Tribolium castaneum: one gene and its partners. The protein of the gene in region 2 purifies or fractionates together with the protein of the main gene of each other region. This does not show direct contact. Links are inferred from orthologs where the notes say so. Each region holds a gene or a part of one and is shown on either strand. Other genes may lie near its edges.

Region 1 (10,942 bases), on a different chromosome or scaffold from region 2:
TTGGTGGGTTATACGTTTTGGGTTTGGGCAAAGGCCAGGCTAGAAGTTCGTCCTTTGTTGACGAGGTCAGTAATAAATCTGGGGCAATCCAACACAGGGACATCCAAGTGCTTTCGTTCTTCCTGCGATTGTTGCCCTTTTTAGCGGCTTGGAAGAACGTCTGCATTCTACCGTCAGTCCCCGCCCGCCAGATGTAAACACTTTTGTCTTTTCCACACGATGCGAGCAAATACTCAGCTCTTGGTTCTTCCTCAATCGGTTCTACAACCTTTGGAGATTCCTCTGGAGTAGCAATTTTTGGCGACTCCTCTGGAGTATTATCATGTTTTTCAGTTTCTGATTCCAGAACGCTATCACATTCGGATTTTTCCGGCGAGTCAAACTTCTCGCGGGTTTCGTCCGTTTGATCAGTCTTCACTTCTGAGCCCGTGTGCTCAATATCCTTCTCATTTCCTTCATCTTTATCTTCGATAATTTCGGAATCTAGCACAGAATCGTCCAAAAAGTCGCCACTTGGGTCGTACAGTTTCGGCAGAGGCCTACCACAGTCCACTTCAGGCACAAACTCACGTTCACATTCAACTTCGCTTTCTGCCTCGTTATCAGCGGCTGAGTTTTTTACTTCCGCTGATTTTACAAGTTCTGGTTCAAGCCCTAATATCTTACTTTTCAAAAGATGACAATCTTTCAAAAAATCGGAGATTGTGTCCGAGAGGGTTTCTTTACCAGATGAGGCTTCGCCATCATCTGCATGAACTAGATTTACCCAAGGATTGACCTTTTCTTTGGTCTCAACTGTCTTATCTGAACTAGAACCCTCATTGTGCTCACTTTCGCTTGATTTATTTTTAACCGTATTCTGGCCATGTCTCGGAAAGATATTTACGGGTGCTGGACACCAAGACAAGCAAACAACCGCCTGATAATGCCCCCTCAATTTATACAAAACTTGCCCATTGCCTGGACAAATTACATGAGCAAAAAGTATTTTTTATGCGCAAACTTACGACGCAAATCGGCCACGATCACCACACCGTTATTTAGTCCAAAGGCCATGAGCCAGCCGGCATGGGGGCACGACGAAAGACAAGTCAGAGTGACTTTACTTTTGAATAAATCTACCAAAGGCTTGGACTCATTCGTGTTGATATTCCAGACGTGTACAAAACCGGTCGATGACGCACTTACGACGCGATCATCACCCGCAAAAACGGCCCCAATTACGGGGTTTTTGTGTTCCTATCATCATTATCTCATTGTGCTTTCCTTAAAAATACCAGACTTACCACATGATCCCTATTCGACGTTTTCTTCTCGAAGGTATCCAAGTCCCACACCTTCATCACGCTGTCTTCCCCCAGGGACACCACGTACGAATGGGGCTCCTTCCATCTCCTGTTCAAACTAACGGAAGTGAGACTGAAACATCAATTGTAGAAAAACGGCCAAGAAACGTAAAACTCAAGTACAGTTTAGAGTGAGCCGAATGAATCAATTTCACTTCGGCCGGTTCTTCGGGGCCTTTTTCCCTAACGATAACAATATCGCTTTTTGCGCCATACACCAAGGTATTGTCAGGGGCACACGCCAACACTGAACTCCTGTACCAAAGGGGCGCAGGAGGAACAGCTAACTCGTTCATCTCACCAAATTATTCAACAACTGAACAAGTAACTTTTAAAACGCATTTACACGTTATTTTCACATGTGGTTGGGCGAGTTTGTGCACTGAACAAGACGTCTGAACCGGAGAATGTTCACCCGTCCGAAATTAATTGAAGTTAGCACCATAAACATTACAGTCGACCAGACAATCCCTGCACGCATTTCCACCATTTCCCACCATTCTCGTTTTCTACAGCCAAGTTCTGTTACAAATTAAAGCTTAACTCATCCAAAAATTACCGAAAAAAGTTATTGGTCGTTACCTGATTATTTGTTACATTCTGGTAATTTTTGCGAGTCGATTTAATTTATTTAATGTTTCGCCACCCTTTTAACTTACGCTGTTGGACGTTTGACAACTGTCACGTGGCCATGCAGGAAAAATGTCAACAGTAATGTCACACGTCACTGTTCTTTTAACACAAAGTTAGATCTATTTCGCAAAAATACTTCTATAAATCTATCATTTTCTGTAATAATGGAGTTTAAAGTGTTTACTTTGAATTGCTGGTAAGCTGTCATGTGATTTATGTTACAAAATTGCACAAAATTCTTAGGGGCCTTGCGGTGGTCTCCAAGAACCGAAGACACCGAATGCAGGCAATAGCTGAGAAGTTGGCGACTAGCCAGTACGATGTAGTTTGCCTCCAAGAGATATGGCTTGACTCTGACTACCAGTTAATCAGAAACAAAGTCTCAGGGGTGTTACCATACTCTCACTATTTTTACAGGTAAATTCAAAAATTCAGTTGAAACAAGCGTAAAGGTGAGTTGTAGCGGAGTCACGGGCTCTGGCGTTTGTATTTTATCGCGACACCCGATGGAGGACGTTTTTTTCCACCAATGGCCAGTAAATGGTTACATTCATAAAATCCACCATGGTGACTGGTTTGGTGGAAAGGGCGTGGGTTTATGTAAATTAAAGGTGAACAATTACACCGTCAACGTCTACTCTGCACATGTAAGATTTATTTTGCTTGATGAACAACACAAAGAGTAATAATTTTAGTTGCACGCAGAATACGACCGAAATTGTGATGAATACCAAGCTCACAGAGTGCTCCAATCTTTCGATACCGCTCAATTTATCCAAATGACGTCTGGAGACGCCGACCTAGTAGTCCTGGCCGGGGACTTAAATACCGAACCTGGAGATTTAGCCTACAGGATAATGTTGAGTGTTCCGGGACTTGTAGATGCGTTTGGTGAAGCTGGAGAAACGGTGCAGAATTGTGTGGCGACAAATGAAAGCCTCACTAATAGTTACACACCCGTGGCCTTACTCAAGAAAAACATTCCTGGCAAAAGAATCGACTATATCATGTATCATCCAGGCTCAAGTTTACAAATCGATTTAAAAAGCTACACATTGCCGTTACCACACAAAATCCCCGGATGTGCGTACAGTTACTCGGACCATGAAGCAATCGCTGCGACTTTAATCGTCACAAAGAGCGAGATAAGGTCGCTGAAAAGCGACCAACACATGAAGAAAACTGTCCTTGAAGAGAGCATAGAAATCTGTGATGACGCACTCAGGGGCTTGAATAACCATAAATATTTGTACTGGTTTTTTACGTTCGTTTTAATCGTGTTGCTGGTTACGACACTTGCAACTGACCTACCTTTCGGCTACAATCTGAATTTTATTTACCACATTTTGAAAATTTTAATCACCCTTTTTATGTTTTACACTTTGATGATGGCAACTATCTGGAATAAAATCGAACGTCATGCTGTGATTGCGGGCAAGTTGGGAATGGAGACAGCTTTGAGGAAATTAAAAGCCAAAGATTTGTAATTATATCAGGGCCAAAACAAGCTCAGTATTTTAAATCAAAGACCAACACCTGTTGCTCATTTTTTATTTGGTTTGTACGACTGTGATCGTTTCTGTACCACTGGTGAATAAAGTTTTCATTTTTTAACTGTTTGTACTTTTTTTCCCCGCCTATTTTTGAACTGAGCGCAACTTTGCCATCTGTTTGACGCTGATTGGTCGGCGAATTTGTGTTTATTCTCTTCATAAATGCGGTGTATTACGTGGTGTTCAAGAACTACAATAAAAATAATCTGATAATAAATGAAATACAGCCTAAGTAAACACCAATTTGAGTTAAGACTGTGGTGCTGAAGCTAGTGTTGTAAGAGTGCTGTGTAAAACTACTTCCGGATTTTGAGGTTAGGTATGTCATTTTATTTTGTCGGTCTCTAGAATTTTAATTATTTCATCGTGAAGTCGGCTTTTTTGTGCATTTTGTAGTAATAGCGTGTCGATAGTTGGGTAAGAGAGTGCGTTTTTGTCGATATTTGGCGTAATTTCGTAACTAATCGATTGGGAAGTGCGTTCACTAACCTTTCAGGTTAATTTTTTAAATTGGATTAGTCCCTGACTTATATTAGTAAATACTGCTTCCGTTTCGTCATCCTGTAATCACGACACATAATTAGTGCCCGGTTTGGTTTGCAGGACAATATATGATCACAAAATGCTTAGAAGTCTCGTTCCGGCAGTAATCACGTTATTGTTGATATTTTCGGCGGTAAAATGTGACGAAGTGGACGATTCTGACGAGGCTACTGTGGAAGTAGAACCGGAAGAATCACACATTGATATCCCCTACGAAAGTCCGAGCCCCCTTGACCCGAAAAAGGTCTATTTCGCCGAGCATTTCGACGATCCAGACCAGTTTGCGAAACGTTGGATAAAATCCCAAGCGAAGAAAGAAGGGATTTCCGAAGACATCGCAAAATACGACGGTGAATGGCAACTTGAACCAACCCAAAAAGACAGTCTAGTGGGCGACAAAGGTTTAGTGCTTAAATCAAAGGCTAAACACGCTGCTATTGCCTCCTCTCTCCTAAAACCGTTTATTTTTGATACTAAACCATTAATCGTGCAATATGAAGTAATATTCCAAGACGGCCAAGAATGTGGCGGAGCCTACTTGAAGCTGCTCACCCAGGACTCCGCCAGTAAAAACTTGAACAACTTCCACGATAAAACCCCCTACTCGATCATGTTCGGCCCCGACAAGTGCGGTAACGACCACAAGCTCCACTTTATCTTCAAGCACCGCAACCCTCTCAACGGGAGCGTCGAGGAAAAGCATTGCAAAAAACCCAAAGACCGCATTGAGGAAGTCTTCTCCGACAAACTCCCCCACTTGTTCACCCTTGTCCTGCACCCTGACAACACCTTCGAGATCCTAATCGACAACAAAGTGGTCAATTCGGGAAGTTTGCTTGAGGATTTCACCCCGGCAGTGAATCCTCCGAAAGAAATTGACGATCCTAATGACAAGAAACCTGAGGATTGGGATGAAAGGGAGAAAATCCCTGACCCAGATGCCGTGAAACCTGACGATTGGGATGAGGATGCGCCGGCTCAGATTGTTGATGAATCAGCGGTGAAACCGGAAGGTTGGCTGGATAATGAACCGTCGCATGTTTTCGATCCTGATGCAAAGAAACCAGAAGATTGGGATTCGGAAATGGACGGGGAGTGGGAACCACCGCTTATTGATAATCCCGCTTGTAAGGATGCTGTCGGGTGTGGGCCTTGGGAGCCCCCACTTATCAATAATCCCGATTATAAGGGGAAGTGGAGGGCGCCGCTTATCGATAATCCTAATTATAAGGGGAAGTGGAGGCCCAGGAGGATCCCCAATCCCGAGTTCTTCGAAGATAAGCATCCCTTTAAAATGCAGACTGTTGTAAGTAAATGGTTAAAAAATTATCTTGTTTATGTAACTGTAATTATTGGTGCCGATATGTTTACATTATTTTTTCTTCTTGTTCAAATTTATCAGTTGATTTTGTACACTATTAGAACATAGTTTACAAATCTGCAGTCAAAATTTGGCTGTCAGCTCTAGTTTCCTCTCCAGTTTCCAGAATTTGTGAAAAGTATATTTCGATATGCTTTGTACAAAAATAACAAATTCTGAGCTTCTAATTTTGTTAGCAATTTTTTTAGAGTGCCTAGGACAGTGAGAAAATGGTAAAAGAATTGCCTCTTGATAAAATTGAGCCAACTTGAAATTGACACATTTATTTTTGCGATTTTTTTTTATTATCTTTGGTTTTTGGCAGAATTGTAGTTGTTTAATTTCCATATTTTTACCGAAACTGCGTATTTGATTATTGCATTGTTGCCTTCAACAAAACATGTTGCAAAAAAGAATTGTTTGTGTCACTACAAAAGGATTTAGTTGCTATGTGAGATATGCTAACTAAGGAAGTAATATATACTTAGCCACACCCAATCGTTTTTATGCTTATTTTGGCGAATTTGCGTTCGTATTGTGATAAAAATGTTTTGTAAACCTAAATAAAGAATTGTATTTTTGCAATTCATTCAAGATTAATTTATCTTTGGACAAATAACTTTTTTCAGACCGCTGTTGGATTTGAGTTATGGTCAATGTCAAAGGACATTTTCTTCGACAATATTATTATTACCGACGATATTACCGTTGCGAACCATTGGGCAGACGCCACTTTTGAAAAAAAGAAGCAAAAGATCGCCAAGGATTCGGTTAGTATCTGTTTAATTTAAATGAATTTTATTATATTTGTGATTTTTTACTAAATAAGAGGACACTGTGGGGTCGTCTTATGAAAAAGTTAAACTATAAACCTGTACCGTGGTTCTTATATTTCGTTTATTGCGCCATACCGGTTTGTTGTTACATATGGTACCTCTACTTCTGCATTCAAGAGGTATTTTCGTACTGCTAGTTATAGTTTTCTTTGTTTTGACATAGGAAAGCGTAATTCAAAAATTAGCTACCTTGACCAATGATTACCCTTGGCTTTGGGGAGTATACATTATCGTACTAGGCATCCCTGTTGTTTTTGTATTATACCTTTGCTGCAAGCCTGGATCCTCTGCTAGTCAAATTCAGGTATTTTGGCTATTGCATTAAATTTTGCGGTGTTAATAAGTGACAATGACAGGAGAAAGAGGAGCTTCGACAAGCAGCGCAACATAAAAAGACTGACGAAACGACTGAAGATGTTGTAGAAGAAGAAGGTAAAGAAGAAGAAGAAGATGAAGTAGAAGCTGAAAATGCAGAAGACGACGATAGAGAAAAGAATTCAGGGCCTGATTCCGACGAAGAAGAGGAATCAGAGGAAAAAACAGAGGTGAGATTCAGTCGTTAAAATTAAAATTGGGTTTATCATGTTCTCGCAGGAACAGTCATCCAAAGGTGCAGGTGACGGCGCGAGGAAACGAAAAGTTCGTAAGGAGTGATAGTAATTTTTGTATAACTTGCACCAGCACTGTTTTCATCATGCAATCCTGCAGTTGTATTTATTTACGATTGTTTGTTTTTTTGCTGTACATTATTCGTTCCATTTTTCCTTAGGAAATTTGTTCTTTTTGAAAGAATAGTATAATTGTAGTTGTTACGTTTTCGAATAAAGTATTTGACAGCGGTTCATTTTACTGTATTTGTAAATAATCAAACGGAGGGCTTAAGGGAAAGGTATTAAGCCGTTTGTATATTTGAGGATTATTTATTACAGAAAATAAAAAACATGGAACTATTTTTTGGTAATTTGTACCATTTCACCGGCAGCTCTTCAGTTTCCCAGACCAAATTCGCCCGTACTAGTATTATGTCATTGCATGATTTGCATCAGCGATTTTTCTATATTATATTTATAATGTCCTGTGATTATGTAATAGTTCAGAGGAAAATAAATTACTTAAGTTTATTGTGTGTGGAACTAAAGCTACAATAAATAAACTTAAAAATAATCACTTGTTTTGTTAATGCACAGCTGATCTTTAATCCCCGCGTTGTGCGGCATTTCTTGCAACTCTTCAGTCAGCGGAATCTGTTGCGTGTGCGAGATCGTGCGACTTCGCCTCTTAAACTCCCGATTGCGGTCCTTGAAAGAGTTATATTTTCGCATTATCTCCATCTGAACCTCGCTGTTCAAGAGGCAATAAACCAAACTGGCAAAAAGTCCTTGAAACGCTGTAAAAGTCTGGTCAAAAAATAACCACATTATTTCAAACGTCTGGTCCTCCAGCGCATAGAACGATAACACGAACGAAATCGTGTAAGGGATCCCGAACAGAGGCACCAAAATTAAAATAGCACGGATGAGCTTTTGGTACTTGGTCCAGCGCTGCTGAATGTACATCGAAGTCAGTTTCACGAAAAGTATTCGGACGATTATTGTAAATAAAATGAAATTGATCTAAAATTTGGTGCTTCAAACATTTTTTTTTAATTAAATTGGAAACTCACAACCACCGTAAGTCCGATCGGGACATCAATCAACATTGCAATAAATTTACTGGATTTTGTTGTCCAACAGTAAATATTTTCATTCCCGGCCTTTAGAACAATCCACGGAATTATGAAAAGCAGGGGGATCCCCCACCCCAAACTGTAATAAATTACAACCCCGTTTTCCGAAAGCAATTTCAAAAAGAGCAAGTTGTGTAAATAGGCGCCCTCCATCAGAAGAAACATGTAATTTGATATTATGAAATAATTCCAGAGACTTATTATAGCTTTACAAACCCAGGACTAAACAAAACCGTTAGTTTTTTTCTATGTGATTGAAAAAGCTACTCACGAAATTAGTTTTGTTGTAAACTAGCTTTCCATTTATTTGAATAATTTCATGCGGTAAGGCCGTCCCCTCGATGAACAATCCGTCTTTTATCAGAGACATGAGGGCCCTCATTACAAACGAGGCAAATAAGTGAATGTGAAGCTTATTTCGAGCGCAGTGTAATCGCCTAAAAAAATTTCTCACTTTTATTTTTTCCTATGGTGGCACTTACTTGATACGTATGAAGACAAACAAAGATATAATTAGTGAGACCGTTGATAAAATGTAGCCACACTGAGTAATATTTTTGATAATTGGTAGCCACTTGTTATACAGAGTGTGGTTGCGGAGCGAGTCATCTAAAATCGGATAAAATTCGGAAATGTTACCACATTGACTGTAGTTGGTCCATGATTCGGTCGAATTCTCGGGGATAAACCACTGGCCGTCACTGTCGCATTGTCTGGTGGCGTAGTTCTGATAAATTTGCCAAATAAATTGGAGTAAAGTTCAGAATTACTTACGTTTCTGGTCCATTTTATGTACTCGTTCGAGCACGACTGGTTGGCCAAAAGTCCAGCGGGAGTCGGCGGCCAGCACAAGATATCGTCGAAAATCAATTCGCAGAATTTCCCAGTGATAATTTCGGTGGTTTTGCTCGCGTAACACTTTCTTTTCGCTGTGTTCAGAATGTCCTGAAATTCGCTCATCGTCCTTGCGGCTTTTCTTGCGTTCTGTAAGGTGATATTGGGCGGTATGCTAATATTTTTACTTGTTTACGAACCGAGTCCACTTGACATAGATGAATCGACTATTTTTATTTTATTAAATCACTTAAAATTCCTCATTATTGAGTAAAATCATCGAATAATCGTTACATAATTGGTTGTTACTAGCCGCTTCTTCGACTGCTATAAATTTAATTAATGATTCAATCGGAACGTAAGCAGTATTTTTTCAAATTAATCTTAGATAGGAATAGGTAAATATTTGTTGTTGCTTTCAATCTGATTGATTGCTCCACAAACGCGCAAAATTCAAATTTGACGCGCAAAACCCCGTCAAAATTTTAAGGTTATGTTCATGTTTTTTGAATTGCACAAGTTTATTTGGTAAAATGCCCAAAATAAAGCTTGACCACGTTGTTAGTTTCAGCAGCGAGGACTCCGTAAGACTTCTTACATGTAAACGATTGTTTTTTAAATAAATGTTAAAGGTTCACGTCGCAAATAACGTTCTAAACAGCGATCCCGCTAAAAAATGGAAATGCAAAGATGCGGGCGAACGCTCGGCCACAATTGTCCTCCAGCTCGAGAAAGCGTCCCTAATTTCAGCACTTGACATCGGGAATGAAAATTCCGCATATATTGAAGTCCTGGTCTCAAGATCAGGGACCACGGATGATTTCAAAGTTTTACTGGTAATGTCTTCCTTCATGACGCCTTTAGAGGCACGTCAAGGGACTAACCCTAACAAGGTGCGAATGTTCACCCAAGAGCATTTATCCAAACCCGAATGTGAACAAAAGTGGGACAGAGTCAAGATAGTTTGCACTCAACCTTTCAACAGACATGTTCAATATGGGCTGTCTTTTATTACGTTCCATACGCCTGGAGACAAGCCAAACGGGACCCCAGTCCAGACAACCATTGGAAAATTTACGCTAAGGCCTGACTCGCCTGATAATCTAACATCTGGGAGTCTATTTGCCAGAAGACAGGAGTTTCAAAAAGAGCCCCTTTCCGTGGCAGCTGCCATAAGAGAAGCCTCTTCATCACCAGTAACAAAACCAAAGTTAAAAATTAATAACACGTCACAAAGTAATAATAATAATAAAGATCATAAACCCGTACCAAGAAACAGGAACGAAATTCTCTACAATAAAGATGAGGAAGAACCTCACGAAAAAATTGATAAAATCATTGAAAAGAAAGCCAAAGAGGAGACAAAAACCAAGAATTTCTCCCCCAAACCTAAAGATTCGGGAGAGACAAGCAAACGAAAGCACGAATCCAGCAAAAAAGAAAGCCCCAAGAAAAAAATTAAAGTTGAAAAACGCAGAAAGCCCTTCTCAGAACTGTTGAGGGGTGTGACCTTGGTCATTAGCGGCATACAAAATCCTGATCGAGGTAATTTGAGGACGATGGCGTTGGAAATGGGGGCCAAATATAAGCCCGACTGGGACAACTCTTGCACTCATTTAATGTAAGAATTTTTACTTAAATAACTCGACTCAAAAATTTAACTAGTAATTCATAATTGTTTAAAAAAAAATTTAATTCTTACAATCTACAGCTTTGTTTCTTCCACTTTTTCTTGTAATTGTTTGTATTTTCTTAATATTATAATTGATGAAATTTTTGCTTTACCTTTCGTTTTACAATTAAGAATTTAATGCTCTATTTGCCGGCCATTTTTTATTTGTTTTATGCTCACCCTTATTTTTCATTTCTCTTATAAGACGGGCTAGGAACAACTGCGTTATCAGTCGACGTCGCGACGCTGTCGCATCCTATAGTTTAGGTATCCGTTTTATTAATGTTAATGGCCAACAATTTATTTCCCAGCTGCGCCTTCACCAATACTCCCAAATTCAATCAAGTGAAAGGCAAGGGAAAAATCGTTAAAAGAAATTGGATTGAGGAGTGTCACTCCCAAAGGAAGCGCCTCCCTTGGAGACGCTTTTGTTTGGATA
Region 2 (11,239 bases):
TTCAACGACCTTGCCCGGATTTTTTCCGGTAAACGAAATTAAATAAATTGCTTTCTAATATCTGGTCCCAAGCCTACTTTCAATTTTACAACAATATGTAATTACTCGTCTTAATATCCGGTCAGAGATTTTTTCACTGGAGGGTTTTGAGGCGAAAGACAGGATTGAGTTGGGTGACTGGATTTGGTTTAATTAGTGGCAAGATGACGGGCGATTTTAATTCAAATTATGTACACTATAGCGCAGCTTACAAACGTACAAATTACATTTCAACCATTGTCAAGTCGGTACTGTAAAATGTTACCTTTTTTCTTCTCTTATTTACGTTTATTTATTTATTTATATACGTATGTATTTATTTATCGGGCTGTCTGTCAGACTTGTAATTTAGTGTGACTGTGTTTAGGTCTTATTGTAATCGTGAAAAGTGTTGACGTCACTTCAATATCGCCCGTCTGTCAGAACGCTTTTGTTCATTTTCTTAATGCAGCTACTGGCTTAGCTCACTTTTGAGCTTTCAGCTACTGGATTCCACATAGATTGACTCGCTGATGCCCACTTGTCTAGTGCTTGACATCCACGACCATGGTGGGAAACGTATCCTGCACCCATTACCAGCATTTTCACTCTTTTATAAACCACCAAAGTGCTGTTTTCCGAAATCAAAAACCCGAGGGAATGAAACCTCATTTTCTTATTTTTAGCAAGAAATGAGAACGAAATTCGGAATGACAAATTGATATTACTTGAAAAAAATAGCAAAGCGATTTAATAACAAAGAGTTTTTCGATGTGGGGTACTGGGGAAAATAGTTGCAGTGGAATAAGAGGAATATTTTTTCTTTTGGTTCTTTTGCAGAATCGTAATGCCAGAATGGATTTTAGTTCTCGCCCTTATTATAAATAACTTATCTGAATAAAGAATGCACGTTTGGAACACGTTTTGGTACTCGCATCTCGTCTCGTATATTCGATTCTTGCAAGGGGTCCGAGTATTTTACTTCGGTCGCAATCAAAATGTGATCGAGCGCGCCGCGAGGTATTCCGAAATACATAAATTCCCATATATTGTGAGAGAGAAGCAACCCCCTCAGTTCCACCCTTAAGTAAAAATATATGTATCGAGTATTGGAATCGAATCCCGTGCCTGACACTCTGATACATTTTAAATTCACATTCGTAAGTACGGAAAATAAGTCTGATAGCGCGTCGGGAGAGAACGCCAGGGCCTTTGTTTCCGTTATTAAGCCCAGCCATTTTTCCATTTCCCGTCTTTTCTTCTCTTGCGTTTTGTTGTTGTATTTCATACGAATCCGCCTTGATTAGTTTCGCCTCCCGGCCTCTTTTCCGCCTCCTTGAATCATGCCTCGACGAAATTTATTCCAATACTTGTTGTTTACAAGACATTAGCCATATCGACTCTCTCTTATACAATCAAAGGAGAACAAACTGCATTCGACAACAACTACAATTAATCTAGAGAGAATTTTCAGACTCGAGAAACGACCATCATTCGTCTGCCAGACCAAAACTAAGCTCATTCCGGATTTTGCAATACATAGTTAAATGTGTGCACGTTTTGTCGTGTCAGCTCGCAATTCACGCATCATCGTGAATGTTTAATACAAGTCGCTCGGTGTTTTTCTCCAAAACCCTTATGTGAACGTGGCACATGCAAGGAGAAACTGGCGAGTGTGTGTGTCTCCCGGAGCCGTCCTCCTCCCTTTCCGGTCCCCGGATGCAAACGAGCTCCGAGATAGAGGCAAGAGACACCGGAGATCGAACGGTGATCGACTCGATGCACCTTCAGGATGCAGATTTGTGACGTTTAACGCGGTATAAACGACACTGGCTGTCTCACAGTCTCGTTTCGCATCCGTTTCAGCTTCAGATTTTCATCATCTAATATTCAGTCGAGTTTTATGTGGAAAAATGACGACCGAATTAAAAGGTGTGTGAGAAGAATGTCGAACCATTCAGAAAGTTAATTTATCCGTCTAGCGAGTTAATGAGATCCCGTAATTTTGGCTGTCGTAGTTAGTAAATAAAATAATTAGCGCCGGTCCGGCCCTGGATTATTTATAAAGTCGGGTGTTAACAGAAGAGACGGCGGGCACCTCCCATTCGTACCCTTTGAAATATGATTTTAATTAAGTTCTCATTATTTATGTTGATGAGGAGGCGAAGATAAGTGCAATGTTAATAACAATCATAACTCCGAACGGTAGCAAATAGTGGATGGAACGGGCCGGAATGCCATCGAGGCGGACCTGATAATTAAAACGGTCGGAATCCGGTCGGATTGTCGGGATCTGATATAGACCGTGTTTACATACCTGCCGACCGGCGATTTATTCATTTAATATTTAAATGGGATTACTACCGAAGGGAATTGGCGACCAGGTAGCCCACTATCGATGCTAATTCTCTCCGACAACTTGTTGGCTTGTTGGACACGAGCCGGCCCTGTTCTCGACGCGTTTACATTCTTCACGCACGCTTCACGACGGAAATATCAGGCAGGGACTTACCGAATTTTCGGCACGAAGAAAAAAACAGAAAATCGATTTAAAAACTATATTTTCTTCCTTCCTTCCACCCCACAAATGACAACTTCGTCTTTTAGACATGGAAAATGGAAATTTAACAATGAAACGTTATTAAGTACAAGTTGATGTGGACTCTTTTTATTTAACTTTTAACCTCTTCATTTTTCAAAGTCCAAGAAGTTACTACTTTTTTGTTTCCAAAAGGTTACAAATAAAGTGAAAAAAAGTTAAATATTTTTGTCTGATTACTTAATATGTAATTGCGAAAGGTTACTATCCAACACCAAAATGTCCCTTTGGACGAAAAAGTTTTTTGCGAAATTGAAGTTTTAAAAATGTTTTTCCTTAAAAGTCTGAGTATTTTTAAAAGAAGCTTGTCTCTTTTGTCGTTTGATGTACTGAGTTCAAATTTGAATCCCGCTGACGATCTTACTTTTTACTTTTTCAAGTAAATTTTGTGTGTGATGACGCGTGTGGTACAAGATACTTACATTTAATTTTTGGAATCTCCAATGACAATATACATATCTCCCGATTTGTCATAATAATAAAAACAACACACGCATATTATTATGACAAATCGGCAAAAAATTCAGAGAATCACATATTTTGTTTCAATGTTATAAGCTAGGAAAGCTTAGATACCGTACAAATTTTAAGTACATTTCTGACAAATCTTCAAATATTGATGATCGATGATAACATTTTGAAGAATTTTTTTTAAGAAATATTTAATAAACAAATCAGATAATATGCTACTAACTCTTTAATAAACTAATTTTATTGTTTCTCTTAAGAGGACACCTCCATTAACCAGACAAAAACGTGTCACAGTGGGTGTCCGTTTATTGGAGACTTCACTGTATTCAACTATCGCAAATCTCATAAATGTTTAAAATCTTCACATTCCAACTTAAATTTGATCACCTAATAATACTTGAAAATTGAAATTACATAGCATAATCAATAAATTTTCGGCCTTCAGATATCAAACGTGATTTTCCTAAATGTATCCAAACAAAAGGGTTTACTTACCCATTTCGTTTAAAGAAAGGAAAAATTGAAAATTTATTGAATAGTGTTTTATGTAATGGCCAGTAGATTTTTCATTTTTCGATTTTTTTCATTTTTGCATGCTCTCGTCACTATTAATTTATTCAAGCGTGCATCTCTCGGTCATTGTGAAATTCGGGTAGTAAGCGCGCGTGACAATTATGCGTTTTTTTGGAGGGAAGTTTGTCAAGGGACGTAGTTTACGAGCGGTCCCTAAGGTATGCTAACCTCCGGTTACGTACCTTCCCTTTTAGCTAGGCACTCAACGTGGCTCCCAGTCATAGTTCTATGCATCGCACGCCGCCACGCACCACTTCAACATATCGTTCGTCCTGATAATGTATTCGTATCGGGAAAAAGCTTCGCTACCGACCAGGAAAACGCATACGTTTCGTAATTTACACTTTGACGACGACGTTTCCGTCGAAGCAAAAGAAGGACTTTTGATGCCTGCGTGATGTATTCATGACGGGGGTTAACAAGAGTTTGTGTTCCCCAAATCTGACGCTACGATGAATATTTCAAGTTATTGCAGACGTTCGAAGAGGATACGAAGGGATTAAGGTGACGCTTTGTTTCTGCGAAAAGGGCGGCGGAGCAAAAATCGATGCTCAAAAAATAAAAGAATAAAAGATGAGATTTACACAATGCAAAATATCTAATGACAGGATACTATTGTTATTTTTATTCTGTACAAAAATTGCTTCAGCCCCAGAATAGCGTCTTGAAATTTCGAGTGATTAGTTTGTGTCAGTTGTTTCATTTTATGAAAATGTAGTTACTTGTGGCTATTTTTAAAGGATGCTGTCGTAAAGACGCTATTGTAATGGAATCAAAAAAGCAAAAATCGCTGTTAGCCGAGGCACCGCAATGGCATTGTATGCGATTTAAAATGCGGTCCCAATTAGAGCTTTTGAAGCTGTTATACATTGACGATCTTTTTGTTTTATCGCAAACATTTCGTAAACACAATCGCGATTATTCAGAGCCCGGCATATAATTGGCGTAAATAACGACCGGGCGCGCGTACGAAAAGAACCTTGAGACCCCTTTTTAAAAACTTATCCCGAAGAAGAATTGATCGCATTACAGAAAAATCTAAATCACAAATGATACAAAGGGAGTAAACTTTCTTATAAAAACTACATTCCATTGTACAAAATCCAGTTAACTCATTTCACAAGAGCGAGTCTCCTTTGCGAATTAAACATTCCGGATTGGAGCGAGCGGCAAATGTGAGATCGTGCTGATCATGGACCCGGACTGTATTCTTTTCTTTGAAGTATTTTAGGGAGCGGGCTCGGTAATGACGTTGCCGGAGTAATCCATGCATACACGGGCTCTGAAACTACCCCACACACACACATTCGGTTTCTTTTATTTTGCGAATCGCGAAAAGATTTGATGAAAATCCCCGGCTGCGAGGGGCGAGGGCCCAATCAGCGCCGAATTTAAGATCATTATCGAGCGTCGAACACCTCAAAAGGACGATTCAAACAAACGCTCGCGCCCCGAGATGGACCATTATCCGAAGGAAATCGATCGAAATGATAGCGCACAATGGAAAAATTTGCTCCCATACCCAAAAACAATTTTTAAAGGGTTTTTAAAGAAAAGACAGTATAACAAAAATGTACATTCTTTACTTTCTAATTTTTTTTTCATCAATTAGGTACTACTTTATTTCTTCTCGCATCCCTAAGCGGCTTCTTATGGATTAGTCCGTTATGACACAAATACCAAAAATAGAATTGCAAAAATTATACACCCAATAAGAAAGTGTTTTACTGATCGGTTTTATAAAAACTGCTAATTAAGTAAATTAGCTTTATTAATTAGGTACTATTATTTTTAGACCATCCGATTAAAAAAAAACAATAATTTTGTGGTTCCAAGTCAAGTTTTTATTTACAGAAAAAGGGTAATATTCAGTCGAGATATAGATTTTTTCGAGTATTGAAAAACTTCATTTTCTAGCAATTTAAATGCACAAACAGATAAATAAGACCCCACCAGATCTAAATTATGCAAAAGACAAAACGTGCGGTTTTATCGATATGAAATAACGCTCATTACAGTCACGATACTCTATTTACTCATATCCACCACGCCATCTCCGAAGAACTCCTAAAAAATTACCCACCTGGACACTCAACATGACCTTAGACTTCTCGAAAAGCATCTTCGTGAATCAAGTACCGCACAACAAACCATCATCACCTTGACTGAACAATAAATGTCTTAATCGTGGGATTCTGATAAGATAAGAAGTCATAAAACGAATTCTGGTTTGCCAAAAGCGGGCAAGTAACGAATTCCCTGTTTAGCAAATTGGTTTATTCGAAAACGTTTAATAAAAATATGCAGTTTATAAAATCCCCGATTGTGCGTCGTTGGTGTATCTGGGGAGTTTCGACGCAAAATTGAATCGGGACTCTATGCCCACGTCCTCCGAGTCGCCCCCGCCATAACCAACGTATCCATAAAATATTCACAAAGCAAATACTGATTTATTATTGAGTAATTGTTAATGATTGGTGGACGCTTTGATGACCTACACGTAAAGAAAATTGACGATAATTGGGTTTGCACAGCTACATGGATTATTTATGTAATCATTGTTCATAACGAGGGGAAAAGAAAGCAAAGAAACCGAACGAAAACGCTCGTTTTTCAATCTTGTTGAAAAAACCTAGGCAAGGGGCGATTTTCAGGCACAGCAAGCACACAATCATTAGCGTGTTTACTGACCTGGCTCTTGTCAAACTGACTCAGGAAGTGGTCCGTTTGCTGCTTCTCGTACAGAGCCCGCGCGAGGCCCCCACGAGGCTTAAAATTCAACGTGGGCCCTATGTCCTGATCGAGACAAAAATCACGATCCGGTCCTGATGAACTTTTGTAACAAACACCATCGTCCACCATCGCGGAAGAGTTGAATAAACAATGAATTTGATGACAGACAAAAGTGAGGTTATGCGGCACGAATTCACAAATTTACGCACTGAATTGTCTCAAGTAGTACAAAAATTGGTAGGTTTTGTAAAATCACAAAAAACGTATGTTAGGGTCAGGGAATTGGACACGTAGGAACGGTTTTAGAGCGTATTTGCTTTCACTTTTGACAGTTATAGAGTCATTGAGTTGGCAGCGCTGGATTTGAGATGACAAGAAACTACTAGGCGCGTAATTTGAATCAATTTTCGTGGGCTCGTTTTGATAAAAATGACTTGTCAGAATAATTAGATTAAATTCGAAAGTTGCATTGATCGTTTCGTGGAATTGTTCTTTAGAAATGAGCTGAGTAACAAGTTGTAATGAGTCTTTTGCAAGTAATTGCGTAATTGTCAAAAATATCTTCCATACATTACATTAATAACCGAGGTGAAAATCAGTTTTGAGCGAGAGCCGAGGTCCATTAACAAAAACCAGTAGCACGATGTTAATTTGAAAGAGATTTTCTTTTTTGTTCCTCGATGGACGTATTATGAAGCAGTGGCTAATGTACAGGTCTACCAGATGGAATTACAATTCACATTAATCTCAATTGTTCGGGGAGAAAATAAAGAAGACGACGTTGGTTCATTTCGGTAGCCAAACAAGAGCGACTTAAAGTTAATTAAGAATGAAATTATGACTGTATGCAGTTTGAGTGCAAAGTGTTGAAAATTGAAATTTTAATTAATCTTGGGCAAGACGAAGAGGGGCAAAAAGCTTTCATTAAGACGTGACTGGAGGAAATCGTGTCCGAGGAAAAAACCGACATTGAGTTTCGAGTAATTTAAATTTAATTATAATCCGAAATTTATACACAAACAAAAATCCAATTAAAACGGCGGAATTAAATTCGAGAAACGTTTTAACACGCGAAATCTCTAAATCGCATAAAAATTATCCGTGCGCATGATACTTTATTAGTGTCGAGACGTCGGCGAGGAAAACCGACCCAACTTACCGGACCCTTAAGGGCCGGAATTCCTTAAGGATTTTCCCGGTTTTTTAAATTGCATCGTGTAATTTCTACTCGAGTATAAATGAGGTTTTTTAATTGGAAATCCGAGCTGCGATCCGGAGGGACAAGAGGGCGTATAGTTAGCGATTTATTTTAATGAGAGTTTCGTTTCTTACGCCGAATCGCATGCCAAGTAGTCCAATAACGAAATATTATTACAATCGCTCTTTGCAGCTTTTATTGCCCTTTTTTCATTCGACGGTAATGAACGTCGTAAAATCCTATTAAAATCGTTGATGTGCCGGGGAAACTCCTTAATATAAGCCCCCACACAAATTATTTTACCTAATTCTCACGGAATCGATACGAGGTGGAGCTTTTTCGTGATCTTTTACTACATCGAAAATAAATTATTATCAAATGTTTGGATAAGCAATATTTTTATTGATGTCACAGCATTTCGTCATATCACGACCATATCAATCGAATATTGATTCCAACCCCAATCTGTCAACCTTCAACACCGCCGCCAACAACCTATGAAAACAAAAAAAAAACAGTGGACAAACGAAATCGTAATTCCCACAGCGTTTCAAAAGTAATCATAAAACCGTAGGATCCCAAAAATATTTTTATTTTTTTCGGACATTGAACTTGTCTTGTATTGAAGGCTACTTGTTACATTTGATTAAACTTAAAATACATCCTTGGGTTCCTTTTACCGTATTTTTATTGAAATAACGCAAGAACAACTTAAGATTCTAATAAAAACCTCGTTACAGCGTTCCATCAATTCATAATTCCCGTTCGTATCGAATCAAAAAAAACCTCCTCGTGTTTTTCGATTAATTACAAATTCCGTGAATATTTCCTAAATGTTCGCCACTTTCGAACAATTTTAAAAGCGACAAAAAATTGTCATTAAGCACATGAAGGTTATTAAAAGACTTTTTACAATGCACCAATTAGTCGCTGGCTACATTATTGTTCCGTGAATAATTCAAAAATGACAATTGAGTGAAATTTTTTGCGCGACACTTAATAATGGAAAAATAATAAATATTACCGTACACTTCCTCCTCATTGTAATAATTATTGTCGGAAAGAAATACGCTGCTTACGTAACCGATTTATGTACGTTGGAAATTTTGTGGTGAATTATCTGCAGGAGTTCACCCGCGGAGCTTTCTCTCATATCGAGGATTTATGCGACGAGGAGTGGAAAGGCGAACTTGAGGAGCAACGAGATTTTTTGTTTTTGTAAGACATGTGAAACAAAAAAATGCAAATAGAGCAGATCAACAATAATGACGAGAAAGTTAAAAGTGATGAAATTGGTTTAAGAATAATTAAACACTCAAAAACTTTGCATAGTTTAACAAGCTGAATGCTCTGACGCAAATTAATTTAATTCTAATCTCAAAAGTGATCGAAAAAGTGCCCCAAATCGCTTTCATATACTTATTGTAATGGTTGATGGTCAGTTAGCCACCCATTATTAAAAGATCTACTTATTATTCTTGACAGCAAGCAATGTTTCTTGCATCGTTCCGGTTCGTGAAAACAAGTAAGTCTTTATTATGTAAAATATGGAGAAAGTTCGGTGAGTTATGTTATCGGCTGCACCCTGTATATAGGAGTGCACTTAATTGTGTGAAAATCCCTGAAATTAGTCTTCAGCTTTACTAATTCAATTTCGAGTAAGTTGCGTGTTCCGATCGGATTTAATTGCTTAACGATTGCTCCGAGTGCTTTAAACTCTGTCATTATAATTAATCAAGAGAGTAAAACATAAAAAGCCGACGTTAAATGGCATTCCAGAAGTGCACTTTACGAAATTAAATTTCTGGTCTGAGGAAGGATTGCCCGTATTTATTAAAAAAGTAACAACAGGTACAATATCATAATTTAGCTGTAATTTTATAAAATTATAATACTACTTTTTGAGAATACTTTTTTATTTTTTTATACAAGGTTTGTCAGAAATACGCGTGTTAATTTTAACAGGTAACAGAGTTCAACAAATAAAAGATTTTTTCTATTTGTATTTTTTCAATAAAATTATAGTACTAAACTATCGTAAACTAAACTCTTGTTTTTTCAAAAGTGTGTTTAAAAACGTTAGGTTATATCGGTGTGCCAAAAGTCTCTGGAAATGGATATAGTGGTCTTATTGACCGCTAAAAATAAATAAGTAAAAAATAATAGAAAAATAGAAAAATAATAGAAAATAGAAAAATAATAGACCTGACCTGACCTGACCTGACCGCTAAAAATAAATAAATAAAAAATAGAAAATAATAGAAAAAAATCATTGCTCCTTATTTAAGATGCAGCAGCTCGTCAAAATTGGAATTGTAGGAAAATCAAACTTGTTAGCTTTGTTTTTAATGATTTATTTTAATGTTTACTTGACTTATTATCAATTTTTTCAAAAAGAATTAGGAAATCATTTCTTTTGGTTTTTAAAATGAGTTAAAAATACCAGTTTAAAAGTGCAGCAACATTTAGTAATGTTACCATGGTAATACTTTTGGTAAATATTTTTCTAAACATATAAAAATAGGTACACTTGTACGGCGTTGCCATTTTTTGTTTTTGATTTTAGCCAAATTAAAGGTTTTGTGATTTTTTTTATCGAAAATAGTGTTCTGTATAAGCTCTATCTAGGTGCTCTTAAGAGCCTATCCGCAACATTTAACACACCTGATACATAGAGGATAGTTATTTTTAAAAATTACTTTGAATATTTTGAAAGTGGATTAAAAAAATCACTAAATTTTATTTAGGTAATCTTGAATTACCGATTGACAAGTAAAATAAAACGTTCATATAAGTAGTTTAGTAAAATATTTCTATTAATTTTATTTGATTTGATTATTTATTTGTTTTAACAAGTTTATACGTTTTCCACAAGTCACAGTAGATAGATGATTAAATTATTAAGCTATTAAAATTAGATACATCATTTAAAGAATCCCTCCGAGCTGTACAAACAATTTGTTTTCAAAAAACCTTTTTATTTTAAGTTTTCAGTTATTTAAATATAGATATGAACGGAGAAAGTTTGAAATCATATTATAGTTTTTTTAAACATAATGGAAATAGCGTTCTGGTTATTTTTGCAAAAATTAATTTTTAGGATTGTATCCTCTGGGTCTCTAATTGGGGCTTTAAGATTTTACAAAAATGTGTCATTTACTCGTTTAGGTTATAACTTTCGTTAAATTTCAAGACAAAAACTTGATTGTTCAGAGTGTTGGAAAATAGCCTCATTTTTCAAGTGTTTTTTTGAAGTATGTACAATTAAAAATGTGAATAAATTTCGATCGAGAGGTTATTATTGAAGCGTGAAATAGTAATCCGGCGATGTAACAATTAAGTTTGATGAACCTGAGTGTCGGTTTTTCTCTCTGGTAAGGACAGATTTGAGACGGTCATGTCATTACCTGAGGTAATTCGATTGGTAATTTGCGGTCTGGCTGACAATGACCGTTCCTCCACGCGTCGGAAACAAATCTGTAATTGTACATCAAACTCTAATCACACTGCCCAACATTCTTCGGATAATATTCCATCTTCAATCAAGGACGGTCGCTCGGCTGGAACGTTTTCGAGACGAGAATCGATCGTAATGTAGCGTTTAGCGCTGTTCGAAATTATCATTTTTATTCCAATAAAAGAGGGAA
Region 3 (11,097 bases), on a different chromosome or scaffold from region 2:
TCGAAGGTTTCAGTTATAACCATCGAACCCATCGACAAGTAAACGACTCCGAACGTGTTATTGCTGACTAAATTTTCCAAATCCTGAAACTTCACCTGTAGCTGAATTTTTTACGAATTTTTTGCTACTTTTGGTAGTGGCTGAGGTTCGCGTATGTGGAGCCCCCCAACTTCTATGAAATTTGGCACAGTTGGCCTAACCTGCTGCATGCTGAAATGACTATTAACGAGCACAAGACTGGTGTTTTGAATGAGATTTTCCAAAGACGGTGTATCAGGTCCGAAAAAATCTTTAACCAAGCGGTTTGAGGGAGCCATGGTCAGGTAGTTATACCTTCAAGATTCTGTATTTTTCACAAGAAAATCACAGTCATTATTTTACCAAATTCTGGTCATTATCCACAAAATTGTATTCTCGATTCTTTCGTACAAATTCATCTTGGGGAGAAAACTGGTGTAAAAATTTGGGACATAAGACGGATTATCCGGATTTGCGATTCGTCCGTGTGCCCAAGGAAGAACCGCACAGGTCGTTATAGACACAATGGGGGCGTTAAATAAGTGCCCAAAACCCAACATTGCATCAGAACCAAAAAGATGGGTAATAATTAAGTCGTATTGTTTCGTTGTGTTTTTCAGACTTTGCAAAACTGCAGTTTTCATAATTGCGGAATTAGCATCCACTCCTCCAGACGTTGTCACAAATTTTATCGTTTCGTAAACGGAATGATCCTTTAAAGCTTTAACTGAAAAATTATTGTGAAATAATGGAAGGCTTCCACGAATGCTTAACTCGTTGTATCTAAAGACTCAATTGAGTAATTTAAAATTACGGATTTGTGTGAACCTTTCTGGGGTTTTTTCGGAAAGAAAATGCGTGACGTAATCAACTTCATGCCCTTTTTCAGCAAGACGTTTCAGGAGGGTCTCGAATAAAATCGAGTGACTTTTCACAGGAAAAGGCATAATTCCCAAAATGTTGGCCGTTTCAGTTATTGAAACGCTCGGCACAATAATAAATAAATAAATAAATAACATTTTCAGCTTGCGGACACGGCTTATTTGTATTAACATTACCTTGCAGTGGGCTTTATACGCACATAATTGTTTTTTGACGCCACATTCGCTAAAACGAGTGTTCCAATTTTGTTTATCAAGGGGAAAAACAATAAAAAATTAAATAAACCAGACATGTGATAAAGTTTAAGTGTTTTTAATAATGTTGAGCCTTAAAAATACGACAAAACCTACATTTATAGTTTGACGCAGTTAATGAATATTCAAAAAAATACAAAAACAAATTATGTACAATACCAGGAACCAATAAATCACTCAATTTTATGTTTGTGGTTACCGTAAATAAAGCGAAGCACTAATTTCAAGACGTACGTGGTCAATAACAAAAACACGAAAAGTCCAGAAGCTAGAATAACAACAACATCCACCAAATAATACTGATACCAGGCCAAGTCCGCCCCTGCACTTCGCAATTGCGGAGCTCCCTTATGCCTTATCACATATTCCACCCAATAAATGGCCGTGTCTAAGGCAGACAAAGGCCGATCTTTAAACTGTTTCGAAACGCGTTCAGCATTTTGCTTGTACGTTGGGTCTTCTAGTAATTTTTTCGAAGCCTCAAGTATAGTTTTCTTGCTGATATCGTCGTATGCCACTTTAATGGTAAGTCCCATGCGTTCAGAAGCACGGATGTTGTTGTCCTGATCGGCGAAAAGTGGGATTCCCAAACGGGGAACCCCACAGTAGACGGCTTCCTGACTCCCCATCAAACCGCCATGGGAGACAAATAACTTAACGTTCGGGTGGCCTAAAAATTACGTTAATTTCAGTTCAATTAATAAACAGTAAAGTACATAAAATGTCCATCTGGGGCATCCAGTTTTCGAAATGAATGTTTTTGGGGATTTTTAGCCCCTGAGGGAAGTTTTCGCGTTTCGCTTTCCATAAAACTTTGTACGGGAGTTCGGAAAAAGCATCAAACATTCCTTGCAGTTTTTCCGGGTCGAAGGTTTCAGTCATGATCATGGACCCCATTGTTAGGTAAATTATGCCTTTGTTGGCGTCACTTGTGACCAGATTTTCAAAATACTGCAAATGTGTGCTTGAATACCAAAACAAAACAAAGATGGGGGGGGGAATTACTTTGGATAATGGTTTAGGCTCATGGATGTGGAGCCCCCCGACTTCAATAAAATTAGGTACAGTTGGTCTTGAATGCGAAATACTGAAGTGACTATTTACTATCACAAGACTAGTGTTTTGGGCCAACTCTTCCAGAGATGGTAACTCGGGCCCGAAAAATTCCTTTGCGATTTTGTTCGATTCCTTTGACGAGAAGTAGTGGTACCTTTAATTTTTGTTAAATGATTTAGAATTACTTATCACAAACTTACAAAAACTTGGTATAAAGCAACATAATTGTGTTTTCGACTCTCTCAAAGAGGCTCATTTTTGCGGTGGTTGAAACAAAATAGTTTGGAATGTAGGAGGGGTTGTCTGGATTCCCAATCCTGTCCCCGGCCCATGGCAAACTTATACTACTTATTAGAGAGACAGTTGGGGCTTTAAAATAGTGACCAAAGCCCAGCATACAATCCGAGCCGAAAATTTCAGTAACCACAAGATCGTACTTTTTTTTGGTTTTCTTTAAGTCGCGCAAAACTGGCGTGTTTAGAGTCGCTGCACAAACATCAACGCCACAAATTTTGGTCATGAAGTGAATCATGTGGAAGTTTGTGAAGCCGTCAAATGCATTGAGGGATAAATTATTGACGAAAATCGGCAGACTTCCGACTAGACTTAGCTGATTATACCTACAATTTTTAATAAGTGTGATAGGGAAAAAATTGTTTTTACCTGGCAGGTGGATCCTTTGTCGGAAAATGGGTGGCAATATCAACATTGTGGCCTTTTTCTGCAAGGCCTATTAACAGGCGTTCAAACATAACGAAGTGGCTTTTGCCAGGCATGGGGAAAATTCCGAGAATGTTGGCAGTTTGTCCGATTGCGAAAGTCGAAATAACAATAAAAAATACCGAACGCATTGTAAATTTATTGCAAATCTCACTGTGATAACTAGGTGATCCTCTGCTTTGATCGTTATATAAGATGTTGGCGAGTAATTGGCTTGTTGCGTGTTGGGGCACTTAGTTTCTCCTATTATTTTAAAGATGACACAGCACAAACGATTTGTAGAGAGTCTACCAAAAAATATAGCTTCTATACTAACACAATTAACTAATTATCGTGTAGTGAGTACTCGTGAGATCACTAATTAACTTTCAATTATGAAAAATTATGACCAACTGCACGGAAATTAAAGACTGCGCTTACAAAAGCTTTTAGTTTTGGATGTTCGAGTGACTATCATGTTTGTAGATTGATAAAAGCCATGAGTCTTCTGAATGTACCAAACGACAAAAATTTTCAAAGATAATCATTGTACTACATTAAGTAATAATCTTTGACCCAGATATTGAACGAGACCTAATTTCAATATTTCAATATAGTTTAATGCATTGGCAACTTCTCCTTCTAGATAATGCTCGACTTGTGATTAATTATGAGAATGAAAAGGCAGAATTTTTATTGCAATTGTAAACAATTTTAAATGGTGCACTAATCGAAACTAACTTCAAACAATTTTTTATTAGCGTGTTTTACTTACCGCCTAAAATCTTCAACTAACTATAACAAAAAAAAATGTAGCACATACTTTTCTATGAGTTTTTAAATACTGCTCTGCCACAAACTGAAGTAATAATATTATGTAAGTGCTGCTGCAGCGATTCAAAGTCTATAAAGAAAATTAACAAACTCAATTAAAATAAATCACAGCGGTAATAAAATAATAAAAGACCAACACAAATTCAATAAATTTTGTATTGTTTTGAATGTCGGTTGCGTAATAAACATTTTATTATTTCTGCGACTGTCTTGGTCATGTGCTTTTATTATTAACTCATTTGAAACACTTGAAACCAACATAGACCAAACAAAAGATGAAAATTTTTATTTTGCAAAAACTGCGTTTTGTATAGAAAATTTTGCTAATTTATCCCTCACTAAAATAAATACATGATAAATCACTTTATTAAACGAAGATTAAAGTTATCTGCCATATAACAATTAGGTACTATCTGGAATAGTAAAGTGTTTGATAAAACAATAATTAATTGTCTGGTACAAACGGATTTTTATACAGCTGCACATACAATGTAGTGTTTTGTGTTTCTCATATTTGCATTTTGTAAGGTGCTGTAGTTTTTTATTTAACAGGACACTCAAGTTGTCTCTTTCAACCACGAATATTTTTTTATAATTGTATAGAGTGTTATGCAACCATTACTACGGTGTGCTCACATTGTATTCTATTTTTTAGTCAATCTAAGATTAGAAGAGTCCGGAAAAGTACTACTTTACGGACGATTTCAAAATAAAATAATAGAAAAACAAAATAAAACAGCCCACATTTTTGTTAATTTATATTTATAAAATTTACAAATCAACAAATCACAGTTTTCTATTATCATTATTGGCTATTGGGATAAAAAGTCCGGTTAATTAGTTGGTTAACAATTTAATGTCCTTCAAGGGCCAGACTCGACACAGGGCCCTACTGCGGATGAGCCCTTGGGGCACTGGCCCATAGTTCCTAGAATCGGAAGAATTACCCGAATTATCGCCCTCCAACCACACGTGACCTCTAGGCACGATTTCGTAATTATTAAAACCAAGCCTAATTTTATCCCCCGGTAAACCAACCACTCTCTTACAGATATTTTGCTTAGGGTTGGAAGGACATTTAGCTATGACAATATTTCCTCTATCTATTCGATTCAGCCTAGCACTGACGTGTTCAGTTAGTAAAATATCATCGGAGTAAATCGTTGGCTCCATTGAAGGCCCTGAACACTAAAATTGTGGATTCGTTAAACAACGATAATTTTTTTAACTTTGTTACCAGAACAAAATCGCCTAGATATTCGAAAGTGCAGTGTGCCACACAGGCATATTGAATTACAAAGCCCACCGAACCCAGCGTTTTCCAAAAAAGCTTCCGCATAGCGATTTTTTTGGGGTTATGGGGGTTATGTCACATTTGACACTTGGCCACTCGAGAGGTCTCTCCACTCCCTCTAACAATATTAAAATTAAAAAAGTAATCAAAATAGCAGTTTTGAATCGTAATGATAATTTAAAGAGTAAAAAGTAATGTAATTTTTCTCTAATTAATTTAAAATTGCATTGGCGCCTATTGTCCCCACCACAAGACGCTTATCAATGACATAAAAGTGTGCTAGATAGCGCGATAAAAATAATTAAAAAATTCTACAAGGCGATTATCGACTGCCTCGTGGCTTTTTCGTGTCTAGGACAAAAAAATTACCGTTTTGTGAATTTTTTTTGTTTATTTGTTGCTTATTTATGTTTGTGTTGACGATTTTTCTCTTGACGTCATTAGAAACTCGTCCGTTCATTGGCTGAAATGTTACAGTGGTCTATTGTCTGTCAGTTCTTCAGTTGTGGTGATTCTATGGTAGTGAAGTGTCCTTCCTTCTGTCAAATTGTATGACGTACGCTTATGTATTAAATAATTAACAAGAAGCTCAGCTTTTCCATTAACCACTACAGTGTTTTCAGTTAGGCGTCTAATTAATGTCTTATTTCGTTTTAACAAAAACCCTCCAAGTTTAGGCAAATATGCTGTGATATCGTGTTTACAAGTGCTTACACAGGAGACTGTAAAAATCTACAAAAACTGACCCATGCTTCTTATTTCAGTAATATGGTGACACAAGTGAGACAGTTTTAACAAAAAACAGGTGAGAATTTTTCTGTGTAGGTACTGCTTTGTTAACAGTTACGTACAAAAAGCTTATCAATAACCCACTTTGCTATCGATTGTAAACATTTCGTAAACTCCAAAGCCAAGAAACAATGACTAATAAACTACTGCACCCCCAACAACACAATTTATTACTGGAACCAACAGCCGCATTTATTTTTGTACAGTTATTCCTAATGTCACTAAACTTGCATTTGCCCCCAGTTTCCTGAACTGTTTCAAATTTGAAAACGCCGTGTCATCACGAAAATCTCTAAAAAAGTACGGATTAACCGCAGGTGATTTATGACCACAACTTAACCGGTTATAATGAGCCTTCAGCAAGAATTTGTACGTGATTGGAAATGATTTAATTGCTTGTAGTTATTAGAAGTGAGGACTTTTTATTAGATAATATTTCCTCAAAGAAAGTTTTTGCATAAAGCGTTGTAATCTTTAAATGTAACTTTCTCCTTTGTTTACTATTACCACCCGAAGTGTGGTGGGTACTTAATAATTCATTCCAAGAATTACTCATCTTGCAATAAGCGAACATTCCTTTGTTAAATATTATTATTTTTGATAGCACGAACTTCGTAGTGATTTTTTCGAAGGTGAACCACGTTGTAAATTGCGTTTGTAGCGAAAAATTTTTTTGTGGTAAAAATTCATCACTTCGATTGTATTTACATAAGAAATATTGCAGCAACCTTGCAAAATTATCAGTATAGTGTATGAATAATGCAGCAGGAATTTAAATATTACATTACTCGATTTCTAGGATGTTCGACGTTGTAGAATCTGTTAAATCACCTTGCTGTTATAATCGATTTAAATGCAAATACAACGCGGTCAATGCTAGAAATATGGTTGTCTTGTGTCAGTTGCTACCTATTTCATGTTATCGTTATCTCAAACTATTCGTATCAGTATTTTATCTAATAGTAAAATTTATGTGCAGGAGCGAAGTATTCCAAAGTAGAAATCAGAGACAAAAGATCCGAGCGTTTCGTGATGCAAACTTAATCAATAAGCAGGTCAAACACCCAATTATCTCATTTTTCTAAACGTTTTGTTTGGTTTTATGCTTTCTTCATATCGGAACAACAATCTGGAAAGAATATGTGCCGAGTTCAAGTGAAAGCATAATCACGTCTAAATTTTTGAGCGCAAAATATAGTGTTTTGTGCTAGTATTTAATTGCCCACACTTGTAAATAACGGATTAAGCGGTCGATTAGAAAAATAATGAGTGTGTTTAGTTTCAAACTAACGACATAAACAAGTCAGTAAACACAAGTTTAAAGGAAGTGGTCGTGCTTTTATCGGACGGTTCAGTGATGGTTTTGCGGTTATTGATGTCCAAAAAATAATCAACCGACTGACAAGTAGTTTTCAGTTTCAACCAGATTGTGAAAATTGCACAATTCCTTTGTCGTCAAATACTGTTTATTCGGGGCAAACACTAAATAAAAAAATTCATTATCACCGAATTAAATTGTTTGTTTTGTATGGGCATTGTCTGAAAAAATGACTAAAGTCTGGAATAACTCAAATTTATCAAAAAACGCGATAGTTCAACTAATTAATTACGCCTAATACAATGGCAAATAAACAATTGAAATATTTTATTCATACGTGGATTCTTTGAACACTTGACTAATTCCCTTTGTGTTAACAAACTGTTATCAGTCACATTTAACAACCAATTAAGGCAGAAAAAGGTTCGTGAAAATAGCGGCGATTACATAATGCATAGCTTTTAATTTTTTTGTTGTTAAAGATCACAATGCCAAAATGGGCCGGAAAAAAGTGTCGTCTGCTCTCGATGTTGGGGCTGACGACGTCCTTCTTCTTCGTCGAAATAGTCGTAGGTTACATAACAAATTCGATGGCTTTGGTCGCGGACAGTTTCCACATGCTAAGCGACGTGGCCGCCTTGATGGTGGCCTTTGTCTCAGTCAAGGTAAAGCAAATGAAAAGCGTACGATTTTCCCAACTCGGAAAATTCCAGATGTCTCCGAAGAAGTGGTCGAAAAACACGTTCGGTTGGGCCAGAGCTGAAGTCCTTGGTGCTTTAGTCAACGCCGTCTTCCTCGTAGCTCTTTGTTTTTCCATTACAGTGGAAGCTTGCAAACGGTTCATCGAGAGCGAAGCGATTCACGACCCACAATTGTTGGTCATTGTGGGTGCGTTGGGTCTGTTTGTTAATTGTATAGGACTGCTGTTGTTTCATGGTATGGGGACGATTTCGTTTGGTTGTTATTTATGGGCGAGTTTTAGAGCATGGTAGTAGCCATGGTCATTCCCATGGTCGTTTGGCCCATAGTCGAAACCGCCTAACACAACTAGCCATGACTGACGATAACGAAAACGACGAAAGTTATCCCAGTCCTCCGCCGGAGAAATCCTCCCATCATGGGCACTCAAGCCCCGGACAGATGAACATGAGGGGGGTTTTCCTCCACGTGTTGTCCGACGCTTTAGGCTCAGTTATCGTAATTATATCAGCAGTTGTCTTCTGGCTGTCGTCGTGGAAATACAGGAATTACATCGACCCAGCTTTGAGCATACTGCTGGTATTGTTAATAATGAACTCTGTATGGCCTTTGTTGCGAGACTCGGCTTTAATTTTACTACAAACTGTCCCGACGCATATTCAAGTCGACGCAATCCAGCGGAGGTTACTGGCGAAAGTCGACGGAGTCGTAGGAGTGCACGAGTTTCACGTCTGGCAATTGGCCGGAGACCGAATCATAGCTTCAGCCCACATTAAGTAAGGTTTTCTGGTTAATTAACCCTCTCTTAATGTAAATGCCAGGTGCCGTAATTTATCCGAATACATGAAAATCGCGGAAAAAGTCAAAGAATTCTTCCACAACGAAGGCATCCACTCGACGACAATCCAACCAGAGTTCATTGATTACCAAGCTCCGGAAATCACAGATACTGACCAAACCGAAGATTGTGTTCTTGATTGTCCCAAAACCACAGACAGTGACGACTGCGTGCAAAACACATGCTGCGGTCCATCGAAACAAGTAAGTTACGACCGAAAAATCGAAAGTGCGCACATTAAAACAACCGTAAAATAATTGATTTTTTCTTAGTTGGAGAGAAGCCTCTTGAAAGTGAGAGTAAAAAAATAATGCGGCTTGGGTATTAAATTTTGGTTTTTGCTAACAGCTGTGATCCACTGTGTGATTAATGCGAAAAAATCTGTGATTGTTTTAATAAAACTATTTTACCTAACTTGTTTTATTGGTGGCACTAACACTGAAGCATCTCCCAAACAACTAATTGTATTTTAACTTCTTGTTACATGTTGACTTGTTTGTGGGGTGCGTTTGCGGTTCCAGGCGTCAGTTAGCCAACCGTTGTTGTGTTCTAGGGACGTGAGACGCCCTCGCCCAATAACACCCCGTATATGGTCCGTCAGCGCGGCAATTCCAGCAACAGTTCGAACAATTCGCAGGAAATGAACGAAATGGAGGCGGGAGTGCTTTTGGAAAAAGGTAATTCTCCAGTGCCCAAAGACTACAATTGTATCTCAAGGGGTTCACAGTGTTCGCAATACTCAGTAAGACCTGGTTCAGAACCAAGTTTCTGATACCTTGATGTTTCACATATTTTAATTAGGCTCTAGTTACCTTATTAAGTATAAAAAGTCGTGTTTTCGTGTTAATAACATCACTTCAGTTTTGTAATATGCTCTACCAGTAAGTTTCACAGATTTTGTTACTACTACAGTGTGAATCTAGTCTTAGTACAATTTTGTTTTCAGTTTTATTACTTGTAGTTCGGCTATGGCCAAGTTGGTAAAGCATATTTTTCTAGATAAGAACAATCTCAATACGACGGAGTGAAAGAGCAAGATTTCAAAAAATGATCGCGTACTTACATTGTATCATGTGATGAATAAGGGCGACAGAATAAAATCAAGTATTAATTGGGCGGTAGCTAAACGTCAAAACCAGTACCTTAAAAAGGCCCTTCATCGTTTACACGTAACTAGATTAGGAAATTTTCTCGGCTATTTTGCAAACTTGTATACCTACCGTGTTGGGTGAAGTACAAGTGTTACATATTTATATTTTATTTTGTATATTAAGTATTATGTTACATACTTTTTATTCAACATCTAAAAACAAGGTTATACTATATTTAAAATCACAGACACTGTGTGCAGCCTATTGATGAAATAAAATTAAAGGAAGACTAAAAAGTGAGCTTTATTTGGTGGGCTTTACCTTACCTAATACTCATCTTCGGACCTCTTTTCCCAGTCAAACAATATAGCTTAGGAGACGAAACGAGATACAAAATCAAGGGTTTTCTGAACCCAAAAAAATAGTACGGCAGAAATCGTTTTAAATTAATTTAAATCCAACCAATTTTTGCAAAAATATGGGTAGGTTGGAATTACAAAGTATAGGAAACTGTTTTTTTAAGTCTTGCTACGAACGCGTAATTATCACAAGCGGGCAGAAATTCATTTACATGCTGTTATTACGTGCACAAAAAATCCAACCTCTGCATAATAAATTGTTTTGCACGGAAGACTGTCAAAGCCTGAACACAAACATAACCAGTGTAGTATTTATACTAGACATTGACTACTTATTCTACTTTACGTTGAGATTTGGCATCTACCACACTTAACGCAATACCTAGCTGAGCTGCATAATAGGTGGACATGACAAGGGCCTAAAAAATAATTAATTTTCCACAAATAAATGTTAATTGAATTACCTGTGAATAATCAACTGAGAATTTGAACCGATCTAGACCCAGTATAAGGTCGGAGAGAACGAAAAGAATTCCACCAACACACGAACATAACTTGCTCCAAGTCCACAAATCCTGAAAAAATCACTCGAAAAAAAAATTCATTTAGTTTCACAATTTTACCTCAAAAAACTGGACTCGAGCAATGGCCCTCCACATCATCGTGGTCAAGATAAATGTGTAAATAATTACACCAGGAACTAGAATACCGTGTAAACCTGACATTAAATATGCTATACCTACAATTGGAACAATCGGGGAAAGTTCGCAATAAAACCATTAACATACCCATTACACTAATTGCGTATAAACATGCACCTAAGGTTAAATTAAGAGGCTTAAAACCGAACGCTAGAATGTAATTAATGTGCCCGATGGCAAATGCTAACATCCCAGCTTCGAAATATCCAGGCCAGATTAAAAACGCATCTCCCAAACAACAGAAAATTAATCCGACTAGAATTCT

What was found.
Region 1: the proteins of protein-L-histidine N-pros-methyltransferase (region 2) and calnexin purify together in Homo sapiens (co-immunoprecipitation; 3 studies listed by BioGRID and IntAct, with this or other methods). This does not show direct contact. The link is inferred for Tribolium castaneum from reciprocal best matches to the Homo sapiens genes METTL9 and CANX.
Region 3: the proteins of protein-L-histidine N-pros-methyltransferase (region 2) and ZnT63C purify together in Homo sapiens (co-immunoprecipitation; 3 studies listed by BioGRID and IntAct, with this or other methods). This does not show direct contact. The link is inferred for Tribolium castaneum from reciprocal best matches to the Homo sapiens genes METTL9 and SLC30A1.

What each region holds. Positions count from the first base shown.
Region 1 is NC_087402.1:5,185,590-5,196,531, reverse strand, and holds calnexin, read left to right. Parts: upstream 1-3,650; 5' UTR 3,651-3,846; exon of another isoform or gene 3,847-3,851; intron 3,852-3,854; exon of another isoform or gene 3,855-3,949; intron 3,950-4,135; 5' UTR 4,136-4,154; coding exon 4,155-5,381; intron 5,382-6,064; coding exon 6,065-6,205; intron 6,206-6,434; coding exon 6,435-6,575; intron 6,576-6,627; coding exon 6,628-6,816; intron 6,817-6,865; coding exon 6,866-6,925; 3' UTR 6,926-7,425; downstream 7,426-10,942. Other genes in the region: gem-associated protein 5, read right to left, coding at 15-960, 1,008-1,239, 1,287-1,419, 1,470-1,642; nSMase (putative neutral sphingomyelinase), read left to right, coding at 2,144-2,175, 2,223-2,396, 2,443-2,626, 2,675-3,466; parathyroid hormone/parathyroid hormone-related peptide receptor, read right to left, coding at 7,426-7,884, 7,935-8,219, 8,269-8,434, 8,480-8,724, 8,772-8,957; DNA repair protein XRCC1, read left to right, coding at 9,365-9,415, 9,464-10,452, 10,815-10,942. UniProt on the Homo sapiens protein: Calcium-binding protein that interacts with newly synthesized monoglucosylated glycoproteins in the endoplasmic reticulum. It may act in assisting protein assembly and/or in the retention within the ER of unassembled protein subunits.
Region 2 is NC_087394.1:24,600,439-24,611,677, reverse strand, and holds the start of protein-L-histidine N-pros-methyltransferase, read right to left. Parts: upstream 6,769-11,239; 5' UTR 6,524-6,768; coding exon 6,353-6,523; intron 5,866-6,352; exon of another isoform or gene 5,784-5,865; coding exon of another isoform or gene 5,745-5,783; intron 1-5,744. UniProt on the Homo sapiens protein: Protein-histidine N-methyltransferase that specifically catalyzes 1-methylhistidine (pros-methylhistidine) methylation of target proteins.
Region 3 is NC_087402.1:2,129,488-2,140,584, forward strand, and holds ZnT63C (proton-coupled zinc antiporter SLC30A1), read left to right. Parts: upstream 1-5,368; 5' UTR 5,369-5,842; intron 5,843-7,535; exon of another isoform or gene 7,536-7,567; intron 7,568-7,626; 5' UTR 7,627-7,632; coding exon 7,633-7,809; intron 7,810-7,857; coding exon 7,858-8,080; intron 8,081-8,126; coding exon 8,127-8,619; intron 8,620-8,664; coding exon 8,665-8,884; intron 8,885-8,953; coding exon 8,954-8,974; intron 8,975-9,234; coding exon 9,235-9,453; 3' UTR 9,454-9,680; coding exon of another isoform or gene 9,681-9,709; 3' UTR 9,710-10,068; downstream 10,069-11,097. Other genes in the region: UDP-glycosyltransferase UGT5, read right to left, coding at 1-83, 129-333, 382-801, 847-1,073; UDP-glycosyltransferase UGT5, read right to left, coding at 1,328-1,824, 1,871-2,105, 2,160-2,364, 2,411-2,830, 2,874-3,061; mitochondrial inner membrane protease subunit 1, read right to left, coding at 4,581-4,931, 4,981-5,082; radial spoke head 14 homolog, read right to left, coding at 10,464-10,550, 10,596-10,706, 10,755-10,870, 10,920-11,097. UniProt on the Homo sapiens protein: Zinc ion:proton antiporter that could function at the plasma membrane mediating zinc efflux from cells against its electrochemical gradient protecting them from intracellular zinc accumulation and toxicity.